Linked DNA regions of Stegostoma tigrinum. The protein of the gene in region 2 purifies or fractionates together with the protein of the main gene of each other region. This does not show direct contact. Links are inferred from orthologs where the notes say so. Each region holds a gene or a part of one and is shown on either strand. Other genes may lie near its edges.

Region 1 (7,697 bases), on a different chromosome or scaffold from region 2:
AAATACAAAAGGAAGTGAAGGTGGAATAGCAAGTCAGGACAGGGCTTAGGTGCTGTGTACAGAAGAGTATCATCCCTGTGATGCCTCAAGCTTGATGTAATTGTGAATATTTACAAAAACAAGGGTTAGGCTACAGTTGTGTGTGCAGTTCTGTTCACCACATTATTGGAAGAATGTGATTGTGCCGGAGAAGGTTTAGAGGCATTTCACCAGGATGTTGCCTGTGATGAAAAATCTCAGTTATGAGAGACTGGATAGGCTAGGTTTGTTTTCCACGGAGCTGAGAAGGCTGAGGGGAGGTCCGATTGAGGAACGAAAAACTTGAGAGGCATAAACTGGATAGATCATGAGAATCTTTTTCCCCTTGGCAGATGCGTCTAAGACCAGAGGGCGTAAAAGTGGTTTAGAAGATATGAGAAAAATGTTTTTCATGTAAGGGGTGTGGAAAATATGGATGTGCTACCTAATTGGATGGTGGAGGCAGGTACTTGCAACATTTAAGGGGCATCTAAATGAGATCTTAAAATACCAGGGCACAGTAGGTTGTGGGCCAAGTGCAGATAAATGTGTCATTTGGTGTTTACTAGTCAGAATAGATAGTGTTCTGGAGTAGCCATTTCATTTCCAGGCCTCATACATTTGGATGCCTATTCATCAAGACACGGTGGCTCAGTGGTTAGCACTGCAGCCTCACAGCGCCAGGACTCGGGTTCAGTTCCAGCCTCGGGCGACCGTCTGTGTGGAGTTTCCACATTCTCCCTGTGTTTGCGTGGGTTTCGTCTGGGTGCTCCGGTTTCCTCCCACAGTCCAAAGATGTGCAAGCTAGGTGGATCAGCCGTGCTAAATTGTCGGTAGTGTTCAGGGGTGTGTGGGTTATAGGGGAATGGGTCTGGGTGGAATGCTTCAAAGGGCGGTGTGGACTTGTTGAGCTGAAGGGCCTGTTTCCACACTGTAGGGAACTGAATCTAATCTAATCATTCCTAATTACAAATGAAAAGAGAAAGTGTCCAATGTGTACAGATTTTAGAAGAGGTCATAGTAAGAAGGATAGCAAGACTCTACAGAGAGTTATTGGGATTTATACAATCAGGAGTTTTATTTGCTGGCACTCTTACTGTTTGACCCAAGAAGTTGAAGTTATCTGCCTGTGTGTGGGTTGGAGTGGCTCAGAATTATTGAAGCTTTTTGAAAGAGAAACTGGTAAAGAAAAGCTCCAGGGAGCCAGATAGCGCAAAATATCACAATCAAGAGATCAGAATGTCTTTTTACACAGGAACTGTTATCTCATGGGATACCACATCAGAAAAAAATGTTGCAGTAGAAAGCACGATAACTTTCCATATGAAAGATAAACATGTAAAAAGGCTTGATGAGCAGAACAAGGTATAACGAACAAGGCTGCCACAAGCATAATGGGCCAAGTAGTCTCACAGTCTACAGTTCTTGTACCCAGCGTCAAGTAGTCTCACAGTCTACAGTTCTTGTACCCAGCGTCAAGTAGTCTCACAGTCTACAGTTCTTGTACCCAGCCTGACCCTTTTTCTTTTTTAATTAATTCATGGAATTCTGACATCATTGAGTAAGCCACCATTTATTGCCCAGAGGGTAATTAAGAGATTGCTGAGAGTCTGGCCATGTCGGACAGAGTAGTAAGGACACTAGATTTCCATCCTTAAAGGCATTACTGAACCAGATGGATTTCTGAAACAATTGACAGTCACCTTTAGACTGTTTTTTTATTCCGGATTTTTACTGAATTCTGTTTATAACCATCTGCCATGCTGGGATTGAACACAGGTCCTCAGAGCATTAGTCTAGTGACATGAAAACTGCCTCCTCAAATTCAGCTATCTGTCCTGTAGTCACAGTACCATTGGTAAGGATCGTAAAATCAATAATTCTGTGATTGTTTTACCAAGGGAGTCAAGAGAGTAGACTTCAAGGTTAAATATTTTGAGTCAAATGACCTTTCTTCAGAATCTTCTTCACAGCACAGGACTCAAAACATTAACTCTGCTTTCCATCCACAAATACTCCAAACCTGCCAAATTTCTCCAGCAATTTTTGTTTTTGTTTTGTATCTTCAGCATCTTAGACTTCAAGATTTTTCTACTTCAGGTTGACCAGAAACAGAGATCATTGATATAAGACTATCACTAATAATTCCAAAAGGGAATTCAGGAGAAACCTCTCCACCCAGAGAGAATGTGATTCACTATTGCAGGGAGTCATTGTAATGAATAAGATGTATACAAGGCCAAGGTAGATAAACACATAAGGGAGAAATAAATAAAAGGTTAATCTAAATGAACAGGAGTGGGACGAAGCATAGGGGAAGCAGAAACATTGGTGGAGATGAGACAACTTGTATCTATGCTGTAAATAAACAATGCTGTATTGTCACCCTTAAGCCTATTGGATGTCACCTGCTGACATTAAGCTCCCAGAATCAGCTAAATATTATCCAACATGCACAATCCTGGGTTTACGGTAGTGCTGGGAGAAAAAGGTTGTCACAAAAAGAACTGCATTCCAACAGAAACTCCAATATACATTTGTACAGCACCTAGTCATAGCAAAAAAAAATCATGTGCTTCATAGGAACATCATATACTCCATTTACACTTCTTGTTGCTTTGGAAAGGTAGCCAACGTCAAAGATCCCTCCAGCCTGGCTATAATTTCTTCTAACCTTTTCTGTCAGGCAGAATGTACAAAAGCTTAAACATGTGTAACATCAGGTTCAACAGCAGCTTCTTCCCTGCTGTTATTAGACTTTTGAAGGGATGTCACAAATTTAATGTTGATCTCACTTTTTGTGCTCCTCTGCAGTTTTAACATTGTATTGCTCATTTTGTTCTATCAACTTATGAACTTCATATGTACTTACTGCTTGTACTCAGGTGTACAGTATGCAATCAACTTCAGGCCGACCAGATATCCGAAAATAACCTTGGCCCATTTTCCTCTAAATCCTTCTTATCCATATACCCATTTAGATGCCTTTTGAATTTTGTAATTGTACCAGCCTCTACCATGTCCTCTGGCAGCTCATTCCATACACGTAACACCCTTTCAAGTTTTGCAACATCTTTCCTGTAACAGATACACAAAAACAGAGCTTTTCACTGAAGAGATAGTAAGAACTGCCGATGCTGGAGCCAAAGATAACACCATGTGGAGCTGGGGGAACACAGGCCAGGCAGCATCAGAGGAGCAGGAAAACTGACGTTTCAGGTTGGGACCTTTCTCCAGAAAATGTTCTGTATTTTTCCAGCTCCATACTGTGTTATCACTTTTCACTGCACCTAGGTATATTTGACGATAATAAATCAAATTTGATAGAGCATGTTAAGTTATTAGGTAGGTTATAAGTTGCTTAAAGGAGGGACAGAGAGCTGCAGAGACAAAGGTTTCAACCCAGAGCACAAGCAGCCGAAGCTATTTGGTGGAATTATTTTTTTAAAAAAATCACATGCTCAAGAAGCTGGAAATCATTCACAGCACAAAATATTTGTGAGGGGTATGTCAGTGAAAAGTGCTGTATGAATAAAATTGTCAATTAAAAACAAGCCTTGCTCAGTAGGGAGTAATGTTAACACAATTAGAATGGCTTTGAATACTGTAATTCCACTCTAACACAAAACTTCTATCACTTTTTTTACACAGTTTATTCTCTACAGCGCAATGTAATCTCATCACCTGAGTGGCCAGCCCACATCTGGAAAATGGGTCAATCTCATAATCCAGTTCTGATTCTCCCAGATGGGTTTCTACTACGGATTTGTTCTTATGCACAGTCTGAAACACCCAGCTATTCCAGCTCAGGCATTGATCCATAAATAAAATCAGTTTATAAATAACAACACTATTGCAGGGAGGATGAATACAGAGAGTGATAATCTGCATAGATCCCGTCTCCAAACAGATTTATGCGAGGTATTAATCCAGGAAAATCTGTAAATACTACGGATGTACACTGTCATTTCCCATATTGGTCCAGATGTGTCGTCTTGGTGTTAATCTGGTTGCAGAGCTACTGTCGGTCATAAATACTGCAGCCGCTAATGATAGTTGGTGTTACTCCAGCCTTGAAATTTGGACTCGAAAAGTTAGGTTGCTCTCACTCCATGGATGCTGCCTGACCCACTGTGATCTTCAGTAGTTGTTCCGGTACTGACTGGAATGGCTTCTCCAGTTGTTACTGGGTTTGCTACTCTGTCCCGGTTTTGTCCTGAATCCGGATCCAGTTCACATTAATGAGCAAATACGGGAACGGCCTGGATTTGGAACCGGGCCTGTGCCGGGGCAGGACCCCGGGCTTAGTTTGTTCCTGTCCCGGACCAGGATAGGCTGATTGCCGAACTGCCGGTACCACATGCTGTGGCTGCGGCCCAGGAAGCTGTCGGGTCCGGGGCCCGGGCCTGAGCCCAGTGTCCGCCGCTCCAGCTGTAACTGCTGCTGCCTCCAGATCAGGAGCGAAGTGTCTCGGTACCGGAGCCGGGCGTAGCTTTCAGACACGGCCTTCTCGGCCAGCAGCGTCCGCCCGCGGGAGGCGGGGGACCCGGACCTGGAGCCGGCCCCATTCATCCCTCAGGCCCGGACGGGACATCCATCCGAGGGAAGGCATAGCTCCCTCGGCCCCGCCCCCCGGGAAACCATGGCAACCGGCTTCCCGCCCCCCCCGGGAAACCATGGCAACCGGCTTCCCGCCCCTGACAACAACGGCGGCCCAATAACGGTTCTGAGGAAGGGGGTCACTGGGCTCGAATCGTTAACCTCTCTCTCTGCAGAGATGCTGCCAGACCCGCTGAGCCTCTCCAGCAATTCGTGTTTTTGTCTCAGATTTCCCCCACACTCGCAGCTCTTCATTCCATTCGGAGCGAACTGCATTTAGATTGCGCCTAAAATTACCAGAGACAGTCGAGCTGTCTTAAAACTGCGGGACAAATTCGCAGGAAAATGACAAAAGGAGACAACACGATTGTCCAGAATATCGACCGGGGCAGTAATAGTGTGAGGGGCAGAGACTGGCGATAATTTCTAAAAGTGATGGAAGTTTCCGGATCAGTTCGCCTTGATGAGGAGGGAGGCAGAGCTGGGTCTGGATCAGGAGGATGAGAACCGAAAGGATCAGGAAATTTGAAGGTAACAGATTGTTATGGCGCAGAAAGGAGGTAATAAAACATTGTGTCTCCAACACTCAGCAAACAAGCTTCATGACTTTGTGCCATTCTCCTGCCCTTTCCCCATTACCCCATTTAAATAGTAAACAAACACCTTCTTGAATGCCTGATTGAACCTACCTGCCCCAACTTTTCATAAAATCGTAAGGTGATGGTAGAAAAGAACAGGGAACATTCAGAATAGACATAATTCCAGGATAGCCAATTTCAACGAGGTGAGAATCAACTGACTCAGCAAGACCAAAATCACAGACTGGCTGACCCAGTAAAATTGTTCCAGGATAATAGGTTACTTAGACTTTCAGAAAGAGGAAATTACGGCAAACAATCGTGAGCCTGGGCATGACAAAAGGAATTGTGAGTAAACTGAAGCCAAAAAAAACACATTCACATGACCCATATCAAATGGAGATCTATCTGCAAATAAATAATAAATGCATGGTAAAAGTACTGAGTTGAACAATTTTGGGGCTTGAGCATCTCTCCCATGTTCTTACCCCAACTCCCATACACCAGGCCTTTTCATGATACAAACCAAACCACGGTCAGCCATTAATGGCCCCCCTTATTAGCTATTCATTCTCCCACACTGACCTTTACCTCCGTTATCTGCCCAACTGTTTTTGCGTCTCTCTGGGCTCCATCTCCACCTATTGTTTACTCCTCCCTTCTTCCCACACCCCATCTTCAGCATATATACCAATCTTTCCCTAGGTACAATCAGTTCTGGACATGAGTGACTGGATCTGAAACGTTAACTGCTTTCTCTCCACAGAGTGGGACTGCATAGTGACCAAAAATAAGTATATACATGGAGGCAAAGCATTTGGCTAAGCTACCAATAGAGCAGAGATAATGGGAACTGCAGATGCTGGAGAATTCCAAGATAATAAAATGTGAGGCTGGATGAACACAGCAGGCCAAGCAGCATCTCAGGAGCACAAAAGCTGACGTTTCGGGCCTAGACCCTTCATCAGAGAGGGGGATGGGGAGAGGGAACTGGAATAAATAGGGAGAGAGGGGGAGGCGGACCGAAGATGGAGAGTAAAGAAGATTGGTGGAGAGGGTGTAGGTGGGGAGGTAGGGAGGGGATAGGTCAGTCCAGGGAAGACGGACAGGTCAAGGAGGTGGGATGAGGTTAGTAGGTAGCTGGGGGTGCGGCTTGGGGTAGGAGGAAGGGATGGGTGAGAGGAAGAACAGGTTAGGGAGGCAGAGACAGGTTGGACTGGTTTTGGGATGCAGTGGGTGGGGGGGAAGAGCTGGGCTGGTTGTGTGGTGCAGTGGGGGGAGGGGACGAACTGGGCTGGTTTAGGGATGCAGTAGGGGAAGGGGAGATTTTGAAACTGGTGAAGTCCACATTGATACCATATGGCTGCAGGGTTCCCAGGTGAGTTGCTGTTCCTGCAACCTTCGGGTGGCATCATTGTGGCACTGCAGGAGGCCCATGATGGACATGTCATCTAAAGAATGGGAGGGGGAGTGGAAATGGTTTGCGACTGGGAGGTGCAGTTGTTTGTTGCGAACTGAGCGGAGGTATTCTGCAAAGCGGTCCCCAAGCCTCCGCTTGGTTTCCCCAATGTAGAGGAAGCCGCACCGGGTACAGTGGATGCAGTATACCACATTGGCAGATGTGCAGGTGAACCTCTGCTTGATGTGGAATGTCATCTTGGGGCCTGGGATGGGGGTGAGGGAGGAGGTGTGGGGACAGGTGTAGCATTTCCTGCGGTTGCAGGGGAAGGTGCCGGGTGTGGTGGGGTTGGAGGGCAGTGTGGAGCGAACGAGGGAGTCACGGAGAGAGTGGTCTCTCCGGAAAGCTGACAGGGGAGGGGATGGAAAAATGTCTTGGGTGGTGGGGTCGGATTGTAAATGGCGGAAGTGTCGGAGGATAATGCGTTGTATCCGGAGGTTGGTAGGGTGGTGTGTGAGAACGAGGGGGATCCTCTTGGGGCGGTTGTGGCGGGGGCGGGGTGTGAGGGATGTGTTGCGGGAAATACGGCAGACGCGGTCAAGGGCGTTCTCGATCACTGTGGGGGGAAAGTTGCGGTCCTTAAAGAACTTGGACATCTGGGATGTGCGGGAGTGGAATGTCTTATCGTGGGAGCAGATGCGGCGGAGGCGGAGGAATTGGGAATAGGGGATGGAATTTTTGCAGGAGAGTGGGTGGGAGGAGGTGTATTCTAGGTAGCTGTGGGAGTCGGTGGGCTTGAAATGGACATCAGTTACAAGCTGGTTGCCTGAGATGGAGACTGAGAGGTCCAGGAAGGTGAGGGATGTGCTGGAGATTGCCCAGGTGAACTGAAGGTTGGGGTGGAAGGTGTTGGTGAAGTGGATGAACTGTTCGAGCTCCTCTGGGGAGCAAGAGGCGGCGCCGATACAGTCATCAATGTACCGGAGGAAGAGGTGGGGTTTGGGGCCTGTGTAGGTGCGGAAGAGGGACTGTTCCACGTAACCTACAAAGAGGCAGGCATAGCTGGGGCCCATGCGGGTGCCCATGGCCACCCCCTTAGTCTG
Region 2 (7,221 bases):
AGAAACTGAGGAATCCCACACTAGCATTCTGGAATTGAATAAAAGTAATTACGTAGGCACGAAGACAAATCTGGTTTGAGTGGACTGGTGGAAAGACAAAGAAGTAGGACAGTTGATAAGCATTGGCAGATGTTTAAGGAGGCACACAATTCCTTCCAAATAAAATATTTTCCACTTATCATTGGAAGAGTATTTTAATCAATTAAGGAAGTTAGAGCAGAACATTTGGAAAATCAATTTAATCAAGCAATATTAGCATGGCTTCATGAAAAGGATATCCTGTCAGATTAATTTTAAGTTTTTAGAGGAAGTCTGAACCAGAGTGAATACACAGGATCGGTAAACGTGATGTATTTGGATTTCCACAAGGTGCTTGACAAGGGATTTCACAAAGGTTAAACTGTAACAGCCCATGTTCGAGAGTATGTTGGCATGGACAGGAAAATTGGCTTAGGGGCAAGAAAGTGACAGCGGAGATATGGGTGCTTTTTCAGGTTGGGGACCCATGACCAATGGGATTCTACAGAGATCATTATTGGGACTGAAACTGTTTATGATATATATTGGTGACTTAAGAGGAAGAATGCAAATGTACCTGCAGCCAAATTTGAAGATAAAAATAGGTGGAGACACAGGCAGTGAGAGGGATACGAGCAGTTGACAGATATTTACAGGTTAAGTATGTAGGCAAAATGTTGGCAAGAGTATAATTTGGGAAAACATGAAGCTCATTTTAGAGGGGAAGCTAAAGAAGAGTATTAATTATATGGAGAAGAGCTGCAAAAATCTGCAACATAAAGTGACGTGGGGTACTTGGGCATGAAGCAAAAAGCTAGCACAGATGCAGGCGATTAGGAAGGCTAATGGAATGCTGGCCCTTATTTCAAGGCAGTCAGAGTAGAAGAGTAAAGAAATTTTACTGCAAATGTACAAGGTGCTGGTGAGACCACATCTAGAGTATTGCGAGCAGTTTGGATCCCCTTAAAAAAGCTATTATTTCATTGGAGTCAGTTCAGAGAAAGACTCACCAAGATGACCACCACTATGGAGGGACTGTCTCATGAGCAGCGGTTAAAATGTTTGGAACGTACTGGAGTTCATGATCTCATTTGAACACATAGGATTCTTAAGGGACTTGACAGATTAAATGTTAAGGATACAAATTTAAAACTGAAGTGAGGAGATATTTTTCCCCTTGGAGTTGAAGATATGTACTTGAGGATTGTTAGATCAACCATGATTCTGCTGAATAACTGAACAAGCTCAAAGAAGCAAACAATCTACTCCCACTCCTATTTCTTATGGTCCAAAAGAACAAGGATTGCACGAGAAGGAAAAAACATCCATGGCTAAGCAAGGAAAGTGAAGATAACACTAAGATTAAAAACAGCAGCATATTATACTGTAAAGGCCAGTGGTAGGCTAAAAGGCTGGGAAATGTTTAAAGATCAAAAGGGTTACTAAAATGTCATAACAATAAGCTACAAAGGAAAACCACAGTAAAATACAAAAACAAATAGCAAAAGCTTCAAGATATGAAGAAAAGGCAAAGGTTTGTTTAAGTAAATGTTAGTTCTTTGGAGGGAGGAGTCTGGAAAGTTAAGTGGATAACACAACTTTCGAATATCTGGTCGGCATGGACATGTTGGACTGAAGGTTTGTTTCCCATGCTGTATATCTCTAGGACTACGACTCTGTCTGGTTTAAAAGCAAGACAATTATCAGTCATGGGAACTGGTGTATTCTTCACAAAGACATATCTGTGGACTATAATCAGCACTCTCCTCTCGTACAGTAAAGTGTTCTTTTCCCCCCTTATGTTAGTATTCTTGCAAGTTGTCCTGATGAGCACAAGACAAAAACTTCAAAATCTTTTTACAGCAATGTTCACATTTTGCTGTCTTATGTCTACTTTTGAAATCAATCTTAATTAAATGACAGAGACAGTAAGAACTGCTGAAGTCAGAGATAACAGTGTGGAGGTGGAGGAACACAGCAGGCCAGGCAGCATCATGGGACCAGGAAAGCTGACGTTTCTGCTCGTCTGATGCTGCCTGGTCTGCTGTGTTCCTCCAGCTCCACATGGTGTTATGCCTTAATTATGAGGCAAAAAGTAAGTAAAAGCCTGGGTAAACTGCAGATATGCAATAATTTATGAAAGCAAACGTTAGATTGATTACTTATGGAAATTTTATTATGCCAAGTACTAAGCATTAACCTAAATGCTGCTTGAAAAAAGCCAAAACAGATTCGATATGTGAAAGAGAAACAAACAAGAGCACAAAACATGTACCATCTTATCCATGCCTTTTGGGCCAAGACTTGTCCGTATGGCATCTGCAACAGCTGAAAGATAAACATTTTTTTTAAAAAAAAGTATTGATTTGAGTTTTTTAAAATTCACATGGATGAAAATCTGCTGAGCGGAGGGTATCTGTATCTGTATCTGTGGGGCATACATTAAATTTACCCTGGGGGTGGGTGAATCGTCGATGTTGGGATAGCCAGCCATCACTTTTACACTAAACGGTCTGTACATATTCCTCCAGATCCTGAACATGTTCCCCGCACCCCGGTTACGCGGCCCATTTCCCCAACCCCAGCCCGACAAACAAACTTTGTCTCGGTGGCTCGGCAGACCCCAGTAGGTCCACCCCCCCCCCCCCCCCCACCGTCCACCCCCCCCCCCCCCCCCCGCTCCCCTTCATCCATCCCCGGGTTTCTCCGATATTCCCCTGCTGTTTTTCCGCCGCTGGCTCATATCCCCACTCGGCCCCACCTTTGGCGGCGGAGATATTGCTGAAGCGGATCTGAGCCGGTTTCTCACGGTCCTGATAAACTCCCCTGGCCGCGCCGTTCGGGCCTTTACTACCGCTTTTCTCGGGCATCGCTTAGAGCGGGGATGGGACCAGACGGCGGCTCAATGGGGCCGGATGGCAACGGATTGCAGCGAGGCAAACCGGCGTTCTCCAAGGCGGAGAAAGTTCCAGAAACGGAGAGGACCCAAACCCCGCCCCACTGACATAAGCGGCTGTCCGTGCATAAGCCGGGCGGGAATTCCTGAGGAGCTTCGTCTCAAGAATAAAATCTGGGATATTCAGTGAAAAGGTTAAAAATAAACATAAGGGGAAATCACGATCTGGGTTCGAGCCGCCACATGGATCTACCTCAGTAATGTTCTGGAAGAAGGGCCAATATCTGATTCCAGAATCACAGCAATTTGGTTCATTCCAACAAAAACTGAAGTTACCGGAAAACCTCAGCAGGAATGGCAGTATATGTGAAGAAAAACAATCAGAGTCCAGTTAGGGATGTGCAAGCGAGGTGTGTTAGCCATGGGAAATGCAAGGTTACAGGGATGTGGTGGAGGACTGGGGATGGGTGGGATGCTCTTTGGAGGCTTGGTCAGTGTGCACCTGTTGGGCCGAATGGCCTGTTTCCCCACTGTAGGAGTTCTACAGTTCTATAGGTGTGGCAACATCTGTGGAGAGAAATTACAGTAAATCCTGCTTCAAAAAGCATAACCCTATGAAGACCACTTAGTAAATCATGATCCATCATTAAAGAAATTACTCCTCATCTCTTCTTAACTGGTGAATTCCTTATTCTGAGAGTATGCTCCCACAACTGGAAGTAACACTGCATCTTTCCTGTCAATCACCTAAGAACCTTACATATAGCAATAATGTCTTCTCTTCCATTCTCCAATGAGTACAAACTAAATGTCAGAGTTGGCCTGACGGCTAACTTTTTCACGTAGAGTGTGGTGCTTGTGTGGACAAGTTGTCAGGAAGTTGGGGAGGCAGGTACAATCACAACATTGAAAAGGTATCAGGTTGGTATATGAATATGAAGAGGGAAATGAACCAAATGCTGGCAAATGGGACAAGGTCAGTTTGGGATGTCTGGTCAGCATGGATGAGATGAACTTGCTACAGAGAAGGGGAGATTAAATGAAAGAAAATCCCTGATATTCATTTTATAAGTCACGAGTAACTATTTATTTATTTAACCATAACAGTGAACAAATTATCAGAACTACGAACAAACCAAACAATTCAAGTCTAACACCTAACTATTCTCAAACTGAGCACAATTCTCCTAGTATACTATTCCAAGAAACACAAGTCCCATGTATATGACCCAAGCAGTAAGAGAAAAATACAAATTAAAACTTAGTCTCTCAAAGTCTAAACAGAATGTAGACTTTGAAATGCTCTGCCTTCTCCACTGCCTGTCCAATCATAATTGCCTTTCTTCTGCTGGTCTTAAGTCATTAAAGCCTTTCTTCTGCTGATCCTTCTGACAGAGATGTTTTCTCTGTGTGTTTTTCTGTGAAGACTTTCAGCTAGAAGTGCCATGGTACCCTTTATGGATGGGTAGTGCTTTCTCAGAGAGCTTAACGATTTCTGTGAGTGCTAGATGCTTAGCCCTCAGACGGTGGTTTGTTCTCACCCAATTTTCAAAAACTCGCTCCTTATATACCTTGGATGACATATTAATTTTCTTACAATAGCATTGGTCTGAGGTTGCCAAAGCTGTCAGATTTAAATTCAATTTTCAATCTCTAAGTACTGGGTTTAAATGAATTGGCTGATTCCAGCTTGTTGCCAAAACATCAAACCAAGCCCAAGGTTTCCAGTCACACAGCCAATTGATGTATGTTACAATTTTAGAACTCTCTGTATATTATCAGCTACACACAGATCATTATTTTCCTGTATACATCTCTAAGCTTAGAAGAGCACTTTATCTCTTAAACATCATCTCTGCACAACTTCATAATACCTCCCCACTTTGGGAAAAAAAATTATGAAGAGGTGGCCCATTTCCTTTTAAACTTTAACACCATTATCACAAGATACATAGGTCAATAATCTAAAGTTACACCCTTCATACTAATTCTACATACACATTTAACATTGGACAATACTGGTTTTTATCTTTTCTACACACTTTGTTTTAATCACGTGATAACACATCTGCAATAACATTTTTACCATGTGTAATGTATAATCTGTAAATTAAAAGCCTGTAACATAAGACACCAATGAAATAGTTTCGTATTGATGTCCTACACAGCCATCTCTGAAACATTTTTTGTACATAAACATTAAAATGCTCTAAGGCCAGCACCAAACTCAGTATCTCTCTTTCAATGATGGAGAGTTTTGTCTGGTGGATGTTGAGTTTCTTTAAAAAATAACAGTTGGCCTTTCATTTCTGCCATCCTGCTCTTGCATTAACACAGTTCCAACCCCTACATCGCAACTTCAAAGGGTTTCAAGAAATTTGGTGTGTGTAAAACTGATGCAATGGTTAACACGGGTTTTAAATTCTTAAATGCCTCCTGGCATTGTTTTATCCAACAAAATTTCATGTTCTTCTTTGGCAAATCTGCCAGCAGTACCTCTACGCTACTGAAGTTTGATACAAACCTCCAATAGCATCTACTCAGTCCCAGAAATTGAAGCACCTCTTTATTCCAGGATGGTCTTGAAAATTTCTTGATAGCCTTCATCTTCACATTCCTCAGGGTTATCTTCCCATGTCCGATGTTGCGTCCCAAGAATGTCTTCTGCCTTCACAAATTCAGCTTTTGCTAAATTTATAACCAGTTTTGCATGCCATAGTTTTTCTGCCAAATGTACTATGTGATCTTTATCCCCAAGACAAATGTAAAAATTTTAGATTTCTTATCTACTTCTTGCTTCATTAGATGCTGTATCACCTTCAGATGTTGTACAGCTGATTTACCTACTCTGTTTACTCTTTCTCTCACCTCAGAGACATAATCCAACTGTAAGATCTCTGACTTCAGACCTATTAACTTTCTTTTAATTAATTTTAAAGACAGTCTTAGTTCGTGTCCGAATATCAATTCAAATTGTATAAACTGTGTCTACTCATCTGGGGCATCTCTAATGGCAAGCACTATAATTAGGATATCATATCCCAATCATTTGGGTAATCTTGGCAATAATCCTTCAGCGTGGTCTTTAGGGTCTGATGTCACCTTTGCAATGGTCCCTGGATTCAGGATGGTACACACTTGATTTAAAGTGTTGGATGCCTAAACTATCCATGACATTCTTAAATAGTTTGGCAGTAAAATTAGACCCTTGGTCTGACTGAATCTCCCTGGGTAATCCATAGTGGGAAAAGAAAGCAAGCAAATCTCCACGAGCTTTTCTGTGTTAACTTTCTGAAATGGAATTGCCTCTGGAAATCTGGTAGACACACCTAGTATCATTAGCAAATACTGATTTCCACTTTTGGTTTCAGGGAGGGGACCTACACAATCAATTATAACCTGTAGGAAAGGTTCTTCAAATGTGGGAATTGACATCAAAGGCACTGGTTTTATTACTGACTGTGGCTTTCCCACCAATTGACACATGACAGGTTCGGCAAATTCAACCACATTCTTATGTAATCCAGGCCAATAGAAATGCTTTTATATCTTAGTCTGAGTCTTCCTCACTCCTAGATAATTTCCTACAGGTAACTCACATGCTACCAACAATACTTCCTGTTTCTATACGACTGGCAAAACAATCCAGTGCACTTCCATCCATTTCTCCTCTGCACTAACCTGCCATGGTCTCCATTTTTGCCTTAAAATTCTATTCTTAAGATAATAAAATTTGGGAATACGTTCTGATTCCTTTTCAGAGTAGGCTTTATAATATAAACATTTATTGTCTCATCCTTTTGTTGTAACTCCATTAATCTTTCAGAACTAAACACCTCTGCCAGATCCTACATCTGATGAAGGGTCTTGGCCCGAAATGTCAGCTTTTGTGCTGCTGAGATGCTGCTTAGCCTGCTGTGTTCATCCAGCTCCACATTTTATTATCTTGGATTCTCCAGCATCTGCAGTTCCCATCATCTCTGACCTCTGCCTGATCCTCTGCCTGTTCAGGTAGACTTCAACTCCTTTGTCTCTCTCTTTGGTGTTTCTTCCTTGCTGTAACTTATGACTGTGGGATCTTGTTACCACATAATCTGGAAAAATTCCAGAGTATTTTTCTTTTAACTCCTCAGTTCCCTGGTTTTCCTTCGGCTTCTCCACTACAAGGGGTGTCACTCCCACCTTTGATTCTGTTTGGTCATTTCCAAAAACAAACTGTATTCCTGGAACAGACACTCTTTCAATCACTCCCACTGTCACTTCCCCAGGCTTGATTGTACTTTCCAATCTTATCTTACACTCTCTCC

Evidence for each region.
Region 1: the proteins of cct4 (region 2) and wdr5 purify together in Homo sapiens (affinity purification with mass spectrometry; 3 studies listed by BioGRID and IntAct, with this or other methods). This does not show direct contact. The link is inferred for Stegostoma tigrinum from reciprocal best matches to the Homo sapiens genes CCT4 and WDR5.

What each region holds. Positions count from the first base shown.
Region 1 is NC_081382.1:45,448,704-45,456,400, forward strand, and holds the start of wdr5 (WD repeat-containing protein 5), read right to left. Parts: upstream 3,008-7,697; 5' UTR 2,891-3,007; exon of another isoform or gene 1,576-2,890; intron 1-1,575. Other genes in the region: putative uncharacterized protein BRD3OS, read right to left, coding at 4,252-4,590.
Region 2 is NC_081362.1:831,013-838,233, forward strand, and holds the start of cct4 (T-complex protein 1 subunit delta), read right to left. Parts: upstream 3,010-7,221; 5' UTR 2,889-3,009; coding exon 2,780-2,888; intron 2,347-2,779; coding exon 2,294-2,346; intron 1-2,293. UniProt on the Homo sapiens protein: Component of the chaperonin-containing T-complex (TRiC), a molecular chaperone complex that assists the folding of actin, tubulin and other proteins upon ATP hydrolysis.